Linked DNA regions of Alligator mississippiensis. The protein of the gene in region 2 purifies or fractionates together with the protein of the main gene of each other region. This does not show direct contact. Links are inferred from orthologs where the notes say so. Each region holds a gene or a part of one and is shown on either strand. Other genes may lie near its edges.

The links. The genes of interacting proteins can lie anywhere in the genome.
Region 1: the proteins of CBX3 (region 2) and CCDC71L purify together in Homo sapiens (affinity purification with mass spectrometry; 3 studies listed by BioGRID and IntAct, with this or other methods). This does not show direct contact. The link is inferred for Alligator mississippiensis from reciprocal best matches to the Homo sapiens genes CBX3 and CCDC71L.

The regions. Positions count from the first base shown.
Region 1 is NC_081827.1:27,292,443-27,299,296, forward strand, and holds CCDC71L (coiled-coil domain-containing protein 71L), read right to left. Parts: upstream 2,078-6,854; 5' UTR 2,000-2,077; coding exon 1,376-1,999; 3' UTR 562-1,375; downstream 1-561.
Region 2 is NC_081828.1:156,757,958-156,765,819, forward strand, and holds the start of CBX3 (chromobox protein homolog 3), read right to left. Parts: upstream 3,095-7,862; 5' UTR 3,065-3,094; coding exon 2,999-3,064; intron 1,785-2,998; exon of another isoform or gene 1,758-1,784; coding exon of another isoform or gene 1,734-1,757; intron 1-1,733. Other genes in the region: HNRNPA2B1 (heterogeneous nuclear ribonucleoproteins A2/B1), read left to right, coding at 4,549-4,593.

The sequences.
Region 1 (6,854 bases), on a different chromosome or scaffold from region 2:
TGTTTACAGTACATGAGGTCATTTACTCTACCAGGAAAGTCAGGATCAAAGCCCTGTTCTCAGAGCCAGGGGGACATCATTTAACAGTTACAAAGCCAATGCCTTCTTCCTCTTTTACAGTTAAGGATCCATATTCTCTTTTTTCCCCAATGTCAACTTTATAGACCTCATTTGCTTTAGAGGATAAATTCCATAGAAACGAATTACTTGGAATCCTGTAACATTACAACATGTATCTAGGACTATACATTAAATAATAATAATAAAAAAAAGCTTAATCTCAATGTTTAAGCTGCTACCTTAAAAGAATACCTGCCCCCTCCCAAAACAAACAAACCAACCAACCACAAAAAAAACAGCCACTTGTACTTTAGGATGACCAAACACAGAGCTCCAGGCAAAACAAGCCTGTAGCCATAGACTAAGTATCTGAGATCACACATTTTACCCTGGGAGAGGAGAGAGAGAAAAAGAAAAGGAACTGCCTCAGTACGAGTTCTAGCAGAGGACAGATAAATGACACCCTGTATTGTTTTATTTAGCTATGAAGACACCAGGTGATAAATCAAGCTTTGTTGCTGTTTATTTTAAATATTGTACTTCAATCATGTAGCATTTAGGTGTTAGCCACTCTAACTAACCACCTGCTTCTATAAGCAGCCAAAGTGGCTGGCAAGTCACATAAACCATTTGTTACATGTTCAACAGTCTTCCCCAACTTTGGATGGTTCTTTGTGTTTGCTGCTTTTTGTGTTTGTTTGTTTTTTGTTTTTGTTTCTGCTTTTAATGAGAACAGTCTAGAAATCAAGCCTTTTGCCCCTCTAAGATCACAACGAGGGTATTGGAAGCTCCTCAGCAAGCCTCTCTTTGCAGGCTGTTTCTCCGGGCAGGACCACTGCGTCTCCAACTTCCCCCAAATCAAACCCAGGTCTGTCAAAAAAAAAAAAGAGCCGCACACTTTAAGCCACTTTGGGCACTCTGTAAAAAGCAAATCCTGGGGTCAGCTATAAAAGAGTAGAAAGGATTGTGGATACAAAACGCATAACAAGTCCGCGGCGCCCAGCCAGGCCTCGAAGCTGGGCAAGAAAGGGGGGGGGGGGAGGGGGGGGGAGAAAGAAAAAGAAAGGTTTTGCACCATCCCCACCACCCTGGGTCCTGCTTCCTGAGGCAACAAACATCCTTGGTCAAAAGCTTCAGCCAGAGGAGCCGGGTCCAGCCACCCTGCGCGCATCCCAGTGCTGCCAGCGGCTCCTCGGGCAAGTCCCCGCCAGGCCGCGGCCCCGGGCTCGGGGGGGTCTCTAAAGTGCAGCAGGACGCGGCGCGGGCGGGGCCGTGTGAACAGGTGCGCGGAGCTCGTCCCGTCCGGTCCCGGCGCTCAGCACCGCGCCACGGGCAGGCGGCGGAGCCGCACCACGGGCGACAGGTCCACGCGCAGGATGCGCTGCGCCTGTCTCCGCGCCGCCGCCAGGCTCCGCCGGCCCCACACGCTGCCCCGCACGCGGATGCTGCAGGGGAGGGCGGGCGGGCGCGGCGTGGCCGCCGCCCAGATCTCCTCCAGAGAGCGGCCCCCGAAGGCCCCCGCCGCCGCCTCCTCCTCCTCCGCGGCGCGCGGCCTCCTGCGCGGCGGGGCCCGGGCGAGGCGGCGGCGGGCGCGGGGCGGCGGCGGCGGCGGGGGCGCGGGCACCTCGGCGCGGCACGAGGCGTAGCCGTACACGTCCTTGCTGCGCAGGATGACCGGCGAGAACTCGTGCTTGAGGCTGCACAGGAAGTCCCACAGCTCTGAGTCCGAGCGCATGAACTCCGTGGACTTGGGCATGAAGAGCTTGATGGCGTCGCCCAGCGCCTTGATGCCGGCGAACGACACCTGCGAGCGCGAGTACACAACTTTCTCCGCCGCGCCCGACACCCCTGCTGCTGCTGCCGCCGCCGCTCCTCTGCTGCCCTGCGGCTTCCCCCCGGCCGCCGCCGCCGCCGCCGCCGCCTTCCTCCTGCGGGACATGGGGGCGGCCGCTGCGCCTCCTCGCTGCGGAGCGCGCTCCAGATCCTGCCGCCGCGGCCAAGATGGAGCTTTAAAATCCCAGGCGGAGGCTGAGCTCGGCTCCGCCCTCCCTCCGCGCCCGCTCGTTGGCCCGTTTGAAATACGTCACCGCCCAGGCCCCGCCCACCGTGGCCGTTTGGAGCCTGGTGGCTTCTCCCCGTGTGGGGGCCTGAGGGGGAGGGGAAGGGAGCAGCCCCTGCTGGGGGCTCCTGCTCCACCATCACCCTCCCCACAGCCCATTGTGGTGCCCACGTGTCACCTCATGGCAGCCCTTTGTCCACAGTGGGAAACTGCCTGGCTGGCACCTGGGTTGTCCTTGACCTGAAGATAATGGCCCCCCCTTTGCTAATTAATCTGTGTGCAAAAATATTCCCTTCCCTCAGAGCTTCACTTGTCCTTGACCTGAAGATAATGGCGCCTCTCCTGCTAACCTGTGTTCAAAGATATTCCCCTCTGTCAGAGCTTCAAAGCCACCTCTGAACCCCCACAAAAGGAGCAGCTTCAATATTCATTGCCTGTCCACTTTTGCCCCCCTTCTCGTGTTGCATTTTGACCCCCCCAGACAGCCAGGGTTCGATCTACATGTTGACTCTAAGGGTGGTCTGCCAAAAAAAAGTAATTAAAGGGTTCATTGGAAAGAGTAATCAATTGGAGACCCCACCCCACACAGGTTATGGTTTTCAAATCTTACAGGGGGGCGCTTGTCCCTTATGGAGGGGCTCAGCTCCCTGAGGCACCCCCTCATTCACACCCCGCTTGCAGCCACAATCCCCAGCACACAGCTTGCAGGCAGCCGGTTGCCTGCGTGGTTCCCAACGCTGCGTGTTGCTGCAGAAAATTAAAAAGTGAATGCTGAGATGAACAGGACGAGGAAAGCATGGCACTGCCCTGAAACATACTGTCTGCTTGGAGCTGGCACCCATGAGCCAGGGAAGATGAGGACCATGCTTTCCACAGTGTCCAAGCTCCAGTGAAAGAAATATTACACACAGGCTTTACATAGCGATTTCAAAGAGCAACACTTCTCAGAAAAAGACCAAAGTCTCAAAGAGTGAGCCTGGAAGAAAAGAATAAAGAAACGAGCACACTTAATTCCAGCTTAAAACTACAAATTTACAATGTCCCTACAACATGAAATGAAATCCATTTGTCAGTGCAGAGGATGTTTGGAAGACCAAACGTAACGTTTTTGCAGTTCAATGACATGCTGAAGACATGAAAGTATTCACACAGCAGCGTGATGAGATAATAAGAAACTCCACAGTTTTGGGTGTGCAGATAAGGAAGGGTGGGGTAGATGAATTGTGATGGCTCTTCTTAAATTAGACTTACTCCATCTGCTCATTCTTGTGTTTCTTCTTAAAGATGCTCACAACCAGGGGCAGCGCCAGGCTCTTCCCAGCGGGGCTGAGGTGGGCTAGACAGTAAACTGGAGGGGCTGCACTGCAGGCAGGAGCCGGGCGGGTGACAGCCTGGAGAGGAGGGGGAGCTATTGTGGGGCTAAGGTGAATTCTGAGGTGGCGATAGCCGCCTACATGCCTCCTCCTAGCGCTGCCCCTCTCACAGTACCTGTTGCACTATATTATATTGTATCAATCCCAGGCTTCAAGGCTTTTGCTAGTTGCCTGAGAGCATCAGGAAGACTTTTTTTATCCCTGTAAATGCATTTGGGTTTGGGTTTGTTTGGGGTTTTTTTGTCTTCCTCTAATGTAGAGGTTGGCAACATTTTGGAGTAGTATGCTGGAGCAACCCAGTTCATGTCTGAGGTGAGCCACAATTAGAGCTGAGTGACTGACCAGGGTGAGCTGGTGCTCTTTGTGCTACCAGGAGACATCTTGAGCACATGCCTCTTGGGTCCTGTTCATTTCTTTAGGGATAAACCAATCACATGGTACTTGGGGTGAGGAAGGGATTTTCCCCCAGGTCAGGTTGGCAATGATCATGCTCCATTTCTTAGAATCATCTGAGCATATTTTATGTAACAAGCCCCCAACCATTGCAGTGGCCAAAGCATTGGTGCCAACTTTGTCTCTCTATCTCTCTTTCTCTGGCACAACATAAGTTTAATTTTATTAGTTTTGGTTTTCATTTGTTTGGGGATTGTGTTGTGCTATTGTTATTGTTAGGTGCTTTGTGACAGTAGCCTGCTAGAGCAGGGGTGGGGAATTATTTGGGCCCGAGGGCCACATAGGGAGTTTTGCTGAGCTGTTGTTGGCCAGGTCAGCACCCCCTTCCCTCCCCATGCAACTCCCTAAGTGACTCTGCTCCCCACTTGGCCAGGCTACTGGGATGGGGCCACAGGCAGGCAGGGAGCAGCATCCAGGAGTGGGATGGGCGAGCAGGGCTGGGGCCGGGATCACAGAGCAGTGACAACACAGGGCTGGGGCTGGGGCCAGGGCAGACACTTGATTCATTGCCCACACCACCCCTGTGATGGCCGCCAGGTCTGCAGGCAGGGGTACAAGGGAGTGTATGTTGCTCTGCCCAGGCCACAGCCCTGCGCTGTCAGTGTACAGAGATCCCAAGGTGCTCATGGAGACCATCCGGGACCTGTGTAAGCAGGACGCATAGCCAGACGGGATGAGGCTGGGTGTAGATGGGGAGCTGCAGCTGAGTCTGGGGCCAGGACCATGGGGCGATGACAGCACAGGGCTGGGGCTCAGGGCAGATCCACGATCCACTTCCCACACACCCCTGCCCATGGAACCCACAGCCGTCACAGGGCCATGCAGGCAGTGGATCACAGCTCTGCCCCGGGTCCTGGCCACACGCTGTCACTACCCTATGGTCCTGTCCTGTGATCCTGGCTTTGCCTGCCCATACCACGCCTGAATACTGCTCCTTCCCCATGTCCCCATCCCATCCACCTGGCTGTGCACCCTGCCCATGCAGATCCTGTCAACAGCAGTGGGTGCAGAGTGGACAAGCTGGGGTGCCTGGGCAGCGGGGCTAGGTCCAGGCAGTCAGAAGGAGCCAAGGCTGCCAGGAAGAGAGCCCAGCCCCTGCCCCAGCACCGCTGTGCACTCGGGAGCTGAGGAACCAGCTGCCCATGCCATGCACCTGGGCCAGGTGGGACTGAAGGACCCACCATGGGGTGGACAAAGTCCCTTGGCAGGCCAAATCTGGCCTGCAAGCCATATTTTGCCCACCCCTGTGCTAGAGGGACCAGAATTGATACTACTGTGGTCTCCTTTTGGGAAAAAATTGTTACATGTTTGCCCCTGATAACAGGAGAGTGAACTCAAAGACTTGGAAGATTCTTTTAAGTCTTGTGGTGGCCTCTGCTTAAATTTGTATCCCAAGAAAGTAGATTGGCTACAAAGTCCAAAAATAAAGACAAAGACACTCCTCCAGCTTGTCAAGTCTCACATGAGCCACTCTCCAGAGCCATCGGCTGTCATGGTTCACTGCACCACTCATAATGCATGGTGCCTCTGACATTTTCCAGCACTACAATACTGTTTCTCAGCTATCAAGAAATTCCATGCATCTCTGAGGCAAAGAATTTCAGTAATTTAGAGATTGCTCTTACTAAAATTGACTAAATAAAAATTTAAAAATTGTTTGGAAAAAAGCAAAGAAATTATGTCCAACATTTACAGAAGCCCTATACCAGGGAAGTGACAATTTAAATCATGGAGGTTTTCATTTCAAATATGAGATATAAGTATCTCAATAACACATACAAGGAAAAATCACTCTTCATAAGATGGCACTTTGGTCCCTCCTCCCTTCTAGGTAGATGTACCTTACACCAGCAAAAGGAAAAAAAAAAAAGTATGTTTCTGATATAGTTCATGTTCATTCCCCAGATGTAATCAATACCAGCAAAAAAACTTGCTTTTCCAAATACATGAGCCATCTTCATCAGAGGGCTGTTTCCTTTTTTTTGTTTACTTCTCTGATTATGTCAGGTAAGACAGTCTCCCTCCTACCTCTTTTTCACTTTCATGCTTGTCTTAAAGCTCCATGACCTAAGAGCGGATGAACCTCCTCAAGTAAAGCACTACAGAGGTAGCCGTAAAGTAGTGTCTTGATTACCTCTGAGACCTAGTTTATGAGGCAGAAGTAAGGACTATGTTGTGGTGGTAACACTCACCATTGCAGAGAGACAGGCCATTTAGTGTTGAATGAGAGTTTCCACATAGGAATTGAATGAAGTCTAACATCCATTTTAAACAAGTGAGCTTGTAAGGGCTTATGTACACCAGGAGACTCAGAAATGTTAATCCAAGTTAGCTAAAGGTGCAAATTTAAAGTGGAATAGTAACTTTGCATTAAAGCTCTTTGTAGACACTCATTCAATATAAAAGTGGCCCTAATTCAATTTAGCTTAGTTCACTTTGTAAGTGAAGTAAAATAAATCATATTAAGGTCACTTTGATTCTGAATAACAGTGACCACACAGACTTTAATGCAGTTTAACAAATCCACATGAAAAGTTAATTCAGATTTATTTTCCTGAAAGCCTAGGCACATAAAGAGGTTACTGTGAGGTAACTGCCAGGTTTATTTCCGCTTTTTATCTAATGACTGTCTAAAGATGAATAAATGACCCTGAAAGTAGGAACCAGAATCTACTGCTCTCCTCTTCTAGTGTGCCCCGATCATGAGGCTACAGACCTAGGGTGCCCATACATGTGCTCTGACACGTTCTAATTAGATTAATCGAGTCTGCTCTGCATTCTAATTAGAATGCTCTAGTATTGCTGCAGCATCACATGTGTAAGCCCCTGTGCATTGGCAACGCATAGGGGGTGCAAGTGGGTACACGTACACCCCCTGCGAAAAGGCACCGCCGACAGTGTTGGCCCTG
Region 2 (7,862 bases):
GAAATAAAAAATGATAGAGATGAAAGCACAGCAGGATGGTCATAGCTCTGTAACAGTAACCATATTGTTATGTTGGGCAAGGCTATTGTAAATATGACATACAAGTGCATATAATTTCTTGAGAGAAGTTCTTCTTTGGGCTAAATCTCCCCATCCCACCATTCTCTGAAAATGATTCTTCTTCTTGCTCTTATAATTTAAGAATCAAATCTCCTAGACTTCTAAAACAAAACACTTGAAGCAAGTGCATGAGAAAGGTAAGTATTTGGAAATCTTTATCGGACGTAACAGATTTATGTACGTCTCACAGGTACATCAGCAGATCTTCAAACTTTTCTTCTTGACCTTCTTTAAATTCTGTAATGTGCATTTTATACCATATGGCCCACAGAAAAATTGCTTATTCAGTTCAAATTTCTGCATGTTCTGTGGTTGCATGCTGTAATCCACATCTCAACCTACAAAAACACGCAACATTTGAAATCAACAGGAAGAAATGTCTCTAGAACTATCTGACCTCTTCTTCTAGGTCCCATCATTTTACACCAAAACCTGAGCATATTCAAATAAAGCGAACTTGCACTTTTTCATATTCAAAATTCACAGAAGAGACACGTACCTTCTTCAGTATATAATCACTCACCTTTTCATTTTATAAAAGTGAAAGATTATAACATTGAGGTAATATTGTAATAGGGAGGTTAGCTATATACAAGTGTCAGGAAAAAAGGGTCTCTTTCCCCTCCTATGAGTGTTTAGATCTACCACCACATTATTGAAGTTAGGGACTTGGGGAACTGGTATCTACTTGAAAATGTAGAACTTTAGCTTGATTAAGTATTTGTAAGCATTATTGACTGGAATCTGGTTGCAATACTCCTTAGAGTAAGTAAACCACAGCACTTAAAAGATAATGCAAACATTTAAAAGTTTACCTAAAATATAGTCAACTGCACAGTAACAAGCTTAATGGCATTTTTTTCCCACAACAGACAAAATTGTTCCTTTTCCAAAGCACACAGATTTGTTTGTCCATTTTTTTTCCCTTATTGGGTATATTTAACACTAGGCTTATGCACTTCTGTCCTTTGCAAACATGTCCTGTCATTTGTTGAGTGGACATCAGAACTACTGAGACATCCGCCTGCCCTAAATTCCAAGTTTGTGGTCCATCATTTGACAAACGATTCCACCATGAAAACTGTCCAGGTGAAGTAGACATTTGGTAACCTCTACAGTTATGAAACGCAAATTTGTTGTTCAATTAAACAATTTCAGTGGCAACCCTAGCTATACCCCATCACCTTACCTTTCTGTATTGGTATTTAATTTCAGAAATTGCTTGATTTCAGCAGTTTGTTCTAAACTCCTAGTGAAACATTAAGTGCTATTTTTATGTGCAATGGATGATATGGTGTGATGAAAGGAGGCTAAAAAAATTCAGTGTTTTCTGGTAATGGTTAACTATTATTCTAGTTGACAACTGGACAGCTGAAATGGAGTAGAGCCCTCCTTTAAAAAAAATTGAATGCATCTCATTAGATGGCAGATTTTTAAAGCCAAAGTCAATGTCCTTTCTCATAGCCTTACTTTCTGGATCTGAGATTTTAGTCAGAATAATGCTGGGGAGGGGAGATGTGGATGTATCTTTTACATAGAGATGCCAAGTTATAATTTTGAAAAAAAAATATGTTGGTTAAATCCTTAAATATTTTAGGTGTGCATGAACTTACCAATGTAGTTTTATTGGAGGCCATTTTTATTGCAGACTTGCAGAGCTTTTACTAGAAAAATGCATGACAATTAAAAGGAAGTTTACATTACTCAGAGAAAGGCATCTCAATACAAGCATGGTCCTTTTTCCAACCCCCATGTGTTCACTGTATATGACATTCAAGTGTGGATTCATCCAGAACAAAACTAGGTTGTTACTTTGTCTGGTGTAACCCAAGACCACATGGTGAAACTAGTGACATAAAACCTGCACTTGCACCCGTGGTTAAAAAATGTCCTTTTTACAGGACGTTCTGAGGCACAGGGATGTTTCAGAGGAAGCTGAGGACCACCAGGATGCCTTATATGCTTGAACCCAGAATCATAAGAACTCAGATTGGAGCAGTTAACCAGAAGACATAACTGCAAGCATTTGCAAGTTGCAAAAGAGAGATTTTTTGCTGGCAGCAGTTCTGCAATAGTGAAACAAGTAGCCAGAGTCCCCCGGGATCCTTCTATATAACAGTCAAGACACATCCAACCCCAAGGCTGCCACCTGATCTTGAAGTTTGCAAGCATTAGGACTGGGATGCTGACAGGGCCTATGGAGGAGTGAAATATTTAAGCCTAAAGATAAATGTATTGTTTGACTGCACCCAGGCCATCCCCCACCTCCCCTCCCCCCTCGTCCTCCATGTTGGGCCTCAGCCTGGCCACTTCTTCAGGGACCCCCCCCACCCCGAAATTCTAAAACGGCCCCGATTTCACTGAAAAAGGCGATGGATAAAGCTCCAGAGAAGGCCAGAAAATCCCCTTCGACTCAGCCCCGCCGCCCCGGGAGCCCAGGCAGCGCGAGGATCCCGGGCCCTGGCCCCGCGCGGCACAGCCCGGCCCGGCCCGCCCAAGCAGAGGAGGGGAGGGGGAACAAAGGCCCGTTGCCGAGGCCCGGGAGGGGGGGGGCGGGGCTGCGCCACGGGCCTGCGCTGGGTGGGTCCCGGGCGAGCGGGCGCCCCGGGGCGGCCTCACGCAAGGCCGAAGCTCCCCGGCGGCGGCCTCCTCCGGGCCCGCGGGCATCGCCACGTCCCCCATCCCCTCCCCGGCCGCAGCGCGGGCCCCGGCGCCGGCCAGCGCGCTTTGTCTGCCGCACACGGCCGCCCCGTGCCCTGCGGCTCCCCCGCCGGGGCCCCTCCTCGGCCGCTCCTGCCCGCGCCCCGTGGGGGCTGCAGCGGCGCCGAGAGCGGCGGAGCGGGGGACGAGAACGAGAGGAAGGGAGAAGGATACAGACTTCACGGCGGCTCCGCGGCGTCCCCGTCGCCTCCTCGCTCCCTGCGCGCACTGAGCGCAGCGGCATCCGCGGCAGGAGGGAGGGCGGGAGGGCGAGCAGGCGGGAGGCCGGGCGCGAGCGGGGCGGGGCCACGAGCGGAGCGGGGCGGGGCGCTGCGTGCCTGCGTGAGGGGAGTTGCCACCGCCGCTGCTGCTGCGCCGGCGACGGGGCCACAGCGCAGGATATCGCTGCTGCTGCCGCCGCCGCCGCGCGCGCCGGAGCTGCCGCCTTCCCCTCCCCCCAAGTGCCGCGCGGTCGCCAGCGTAGCAGCGGGCCAAGACGTCTCTCCCACGGGAGCCTAGCGCAGCGCCGGGGACCCAACCTCGCCGCGCGCCCAGGCGGAAGAAGATGCCTCGCGGGGACCGGGAGAGCGACTGGGTGAGTCGCCAGCGGGGACGCAACATGGCGGCGGCGGCTCCCGCAGCCACGGCCGGGAGGGAGCGGGGCTGGGCCGGGCAGCACAGGGCGAAGGAACCGGGCTAGGAGAATGGCGCAGGGCGGGAGCACTGAGGGAAGAAATCCGCTCTTAGTGGTTCGCCCTGAGGCGGGCGGACTGGGAAGGGCCGGGCCCGGGAACCGAGGAGTGGGCCGCGAGGGTTTGTCCCCGAGCGGCTTCGGCCCTTCCCAGAAAGCTGGAAGAGGGAGCAGCCTCCGCCGAGCTGAGCCGAGGCGCTTCGGCTCCGGTCGGCCACGCGGCGCCTCACGATTCCCTTTCCGGAAATGGCCGAAGCGGAGCGTGAGCTTGCCGGGTCCCGGACTCGCTCCTTCCGGAAAGAGCCGAACTTCCTCGGCCCAGCGGCCGCCGCCGTTTCGACTTTTTCCGTCAGGCGCCGAAGCAGAAGAGCTCGACGACGACGGACGCTTCGGCTCATTCCGGAGGCGGCCATTGCTCCCGGAGCCGATGTTTTTTTTTCCTTCCTTTTCTGCGGACAGTAAAACACAAAGGGGAGCTCGGTGCCACGGCCCAGTCTCTTCCCCCCTCTCGGGAGCCGCGCGCTTTGGGCAGGGCAGGGCAGGGCAGGCTGGCGTGAGGTGAAAACAGGTTGACCGCGAACCCGAATTTCAAATTGCGTAACGGCTGAGGCAGCCATTACTGGGCCTGTCGCGTGCGCTCGCACCCGGGGCCGCCCGCACCATGAAGAATATGGTACGTGCCTGGCGGCGCGCGGGGCTCGGCCGGGGGGAAGGGGTCGCGGCACCCCCACATCCCCTCCTTCCCCCCCCCCCCCGTGGGTCGCTAGAGCCGGCCCGGGCCTGAGCGACAGTTAGAGGAGGAAAGTTCTGGAAGCGCCGAAGGCGGTTGGGGCTGGCGCGGGGGGAGGGAGGCGGGGGAGGGGCGGGTCGATTGCCGGGACCGTTGAACCGAACGACAGCGGGGGGAGGGCCCGCGTGCCCCTGGCGACTGCCGGCCGCGGTGCCCCGGCTTTTAATGGCGGTAACGAGGCGGAGGGAGAAAATGGCGGCGCGCAGATAGGCTCGTGTGTGAGGAGGGCTAGCGGCTCCGCGCCAGGATGGGGAGGCGGGCCGTGAGCCAGGGCAGCGCCGCGGCCAAGCTGGTGAGAGGCGGCGTTGGGGGGGAGGGGGGCTGCGGTTTCCTCAGCCGGCTGCGGGTGCAGCCGGGCCCCGGAGGGCGGCGCGCGGCTTCTCGAGGGAGGCTTTTCTCCTGCCGCATCGCTTCCCCGGCAGGCGGCGGCTTGTGGGCGCCATTTTCCTTCTCCGCAGCCGAGCGGCCCCGGCTCCCGGCGCTGCCACATGGCTGCCACCTGGAGCGCGATGTGCTCGGGCCCTGGAGGCAGCGCGCTCCGGCGCAGGGGCAGGAGGCGCCGGCTCTGCCCGCGCAGCCGCGCATTGCTCGGAGCGGCCTCTGCGCCGCAGCTCCCGACCGCGCGCCGTTTTGGCGGGCGTTCAGCGCCGGGATGCGGAATCTTCTCCCCCGCCCCTCAAATTTCTAGCCGCCATTTTTTGGTGGCTTTGCTCTTGCAGCAGTTGAGACGAATTTGTTTTATCTTAGTGTACTAGGGCAGAACAAGGAGGCTCCCAGTAACTTGATAAGCTCTTCCCTTGCACAGGATACAGATGCTCAACCGGCTTTTCTTTTGGCATTTTGAAACAGTTTCCTTCCTCTCCCCCCCCCCCATCCAGATTTCATCAGCAAGCAGGTAAAAGTGAGGTGCAGACATTTTGCTTTGCCAAGTGTAAAACTGCAGTTTTCAGTATAGTGGGTTGGTTTAATTCTGACTTGTAAGCTAACATTCACACTCCCTAAAACTCAGGGGAAATAGTCTTAGTCCTAAGGCTCTGTCTTTGCTAAGGCAAAAACATTGTAATGAATGTGTTAAACATCCCAATGCATGCAACATATTTGGTGGCTGTCCAGTAAAGGTAAATCCTCAGAGGAACAAGAAGTAACACACTTAAGCATAAGGCTGAGTAACAAAGATCATTTGTAGGCTAACTAAATTAGAGATGCACAAACTTCCATGAGCCTGAGCTTACCTCATGAAGTGATGTGAGCATGTGCATTTCTGATTTGGTTAGTCTACCCTGCGTTTCTGCTTGACTTCAGAATGACTTGCCTACCTATCTCCCTCTAATTGTACGTTGTCATCAGAGTTCATATCCTACACGAGGCCGACTGCTTGCCTGAGACTTCACTTAAATGCATGTGTATACGCACGCATGCATGCAATGATATATTAAACAGTAATGTGAACCATCATTTAATATGGAGATTAATTATAGTAGTCTTTTCCCTTGGTAATCCCAATGGCTGCCTGAAAGCTTGTCTTACATTCCCCTTCTCTCTCCTCCCTCCCCCCATTATATAGTTGGTCCAGTAAAAGACATCACCAAAACTCTTGCTCCTCACATTTCTTAGACTAGTGGTTCTCATCCTTTTTAGATTCAAGATACCCCAAGGTAAACCAAAAGCGCTCTTGGACAGACTCATGGAACGCCTCAAAAAATGTCAGCTCTATTTTTAAAAGTAGTAATATTCACTACTTTTTTGGTTACTGAAAAATAGAGCAGTTTTATTTGTTGTAAAGAATTTGGAGACACCACAACTATGGATTTCTATTTGAAATCTCTGGGTGTATCTTGTGACTTATGTTTGGAAACCTAACAGTGCTAACATTGTATAGTACCCTTGAAAGGATGTCAAGGCATGCCACGAGGCCACGTACTGTGGTTGAAAATCACTCCCTTAGATCAGCATTTCCCAACCGTGGCACATGGGTGTGGAGCCACACCCCCTGCCCACTGATGCTGTGGACACGGGGAGCATGGCTCCAGCCCAAAATGCCATCCGGCTGGCTGCACACAGCTTCCCCTGTCCCCATCCAGTGTGCTGTTTGTGCTTTTTTTATTCAGGTAAATGTGCTGTGGGGCAAAAAGGTTGGGGGGCACTGCCTTAGGCCATGTGGGGCTACATGCTCCAACCCTCCTTTCCTAGTTGTATTATTCCCATATGGCAATTGCTTATATTGGAGAAAGTAAATTTATTTGTAGTTGTCTTGTAAGGAAGTTGTAGCCTACAAGCAAACCTTACCAAGTGTCCTGCACCACCAATGATCCACAGGCTTGTTTGAGAACCAGTAGTGTAATTTTATTCATTTCACTTTTTTAAGTGACTTAATGCCTAACTTTTTCTAGTAGGTATTGGTTACAGAGTTGAAATTGCTCTGGTTTTGTTTTTTTGTTTTTTTGTTACAGTAACATAAAATACCTATAGAATTAGTCTGTTGGCATGCCAAATGATAGTGATTTGATCTAAGTTTTATTAGTACTTGCTTTAAATTGTCCTCTTCCTTTCTTCAGTTCCATTTAAAGTTTTGTAATGTGAAAGGGTGGTTGGTGAAAAATTCATTAAAATCTACGTGTTTGCAATTATTTTATGTTGTAATAGTGCAGGTATTCTAGTTGACTGTTAGAATTAGGCCTTTAGGCTTTTTTTTCCCAGTGGTTAATGCACTTGGCTTCTTGGGCTAATTTTCCAACTTTTCAAATGCAGAAAATGATGCTGATGTTCTATTAAACTGTTTGAATCTTGATTAAAAAGCATAGTAGAAGATGTATGTGATGCTGTTATTACACTGTTGGCAGATGCAGTATTCATTTTTTCTAAATAGTTTTCTAGGGGTTTATTGGGGCCCATGTTTGCAATACATGATTCAGTTTTTTCAAAAAGTCTGAGTACTACACAACTCAGGCTCTGCAGACAGTTCTAAAGAAGTACAGGGTAAGGCTGTAACTTAGAAAAATGAACAGTGCAATTTCTGCAATCTGAAATTATAGTCTTGGTTTGAAGTCATTATCAAAAGCTGTTTTGGCATTGCTTTCAGTGGTCCTTCTTCCATGTCTCACACTAGTTGAAATCCTGCCTAGGCAGCATCAAAAAGCTTTTATTAGTCTGAATAGTTTATTGGAAAATAAGTTGAAGTGATAATCATTTTAAAGCAGGTTACAAACACATTTATAGACAAAATTGGCAAGTCTCTCTTTAGACTAGTTCTTTTTTATTTTTTTAATTTTTTTTAGGGTTGGAGAGAATAGGTAGGGGAGAACTTGCACCATTTTATTAGTGCTGGATTAGCCCTTCAGGTACATTCCATAAGTAGGGACTTTCCAAAATGTAGGTGGCAGGACAGGTGATTTCATGGTGCTGACTGCCATTTACATGGTCTCTGCGGAGTGGGCTCCCTGAAGCCCCTGATTGGCCAAGGGGCCCCACCCCCTCACTGCTGGTTGGTGGAGAAGGGTAGGGAGGGCCACATGCAACGCAGCCCTCTCAGCCAATCACTGCTAGCTTGGCTGCCCCTTTTTG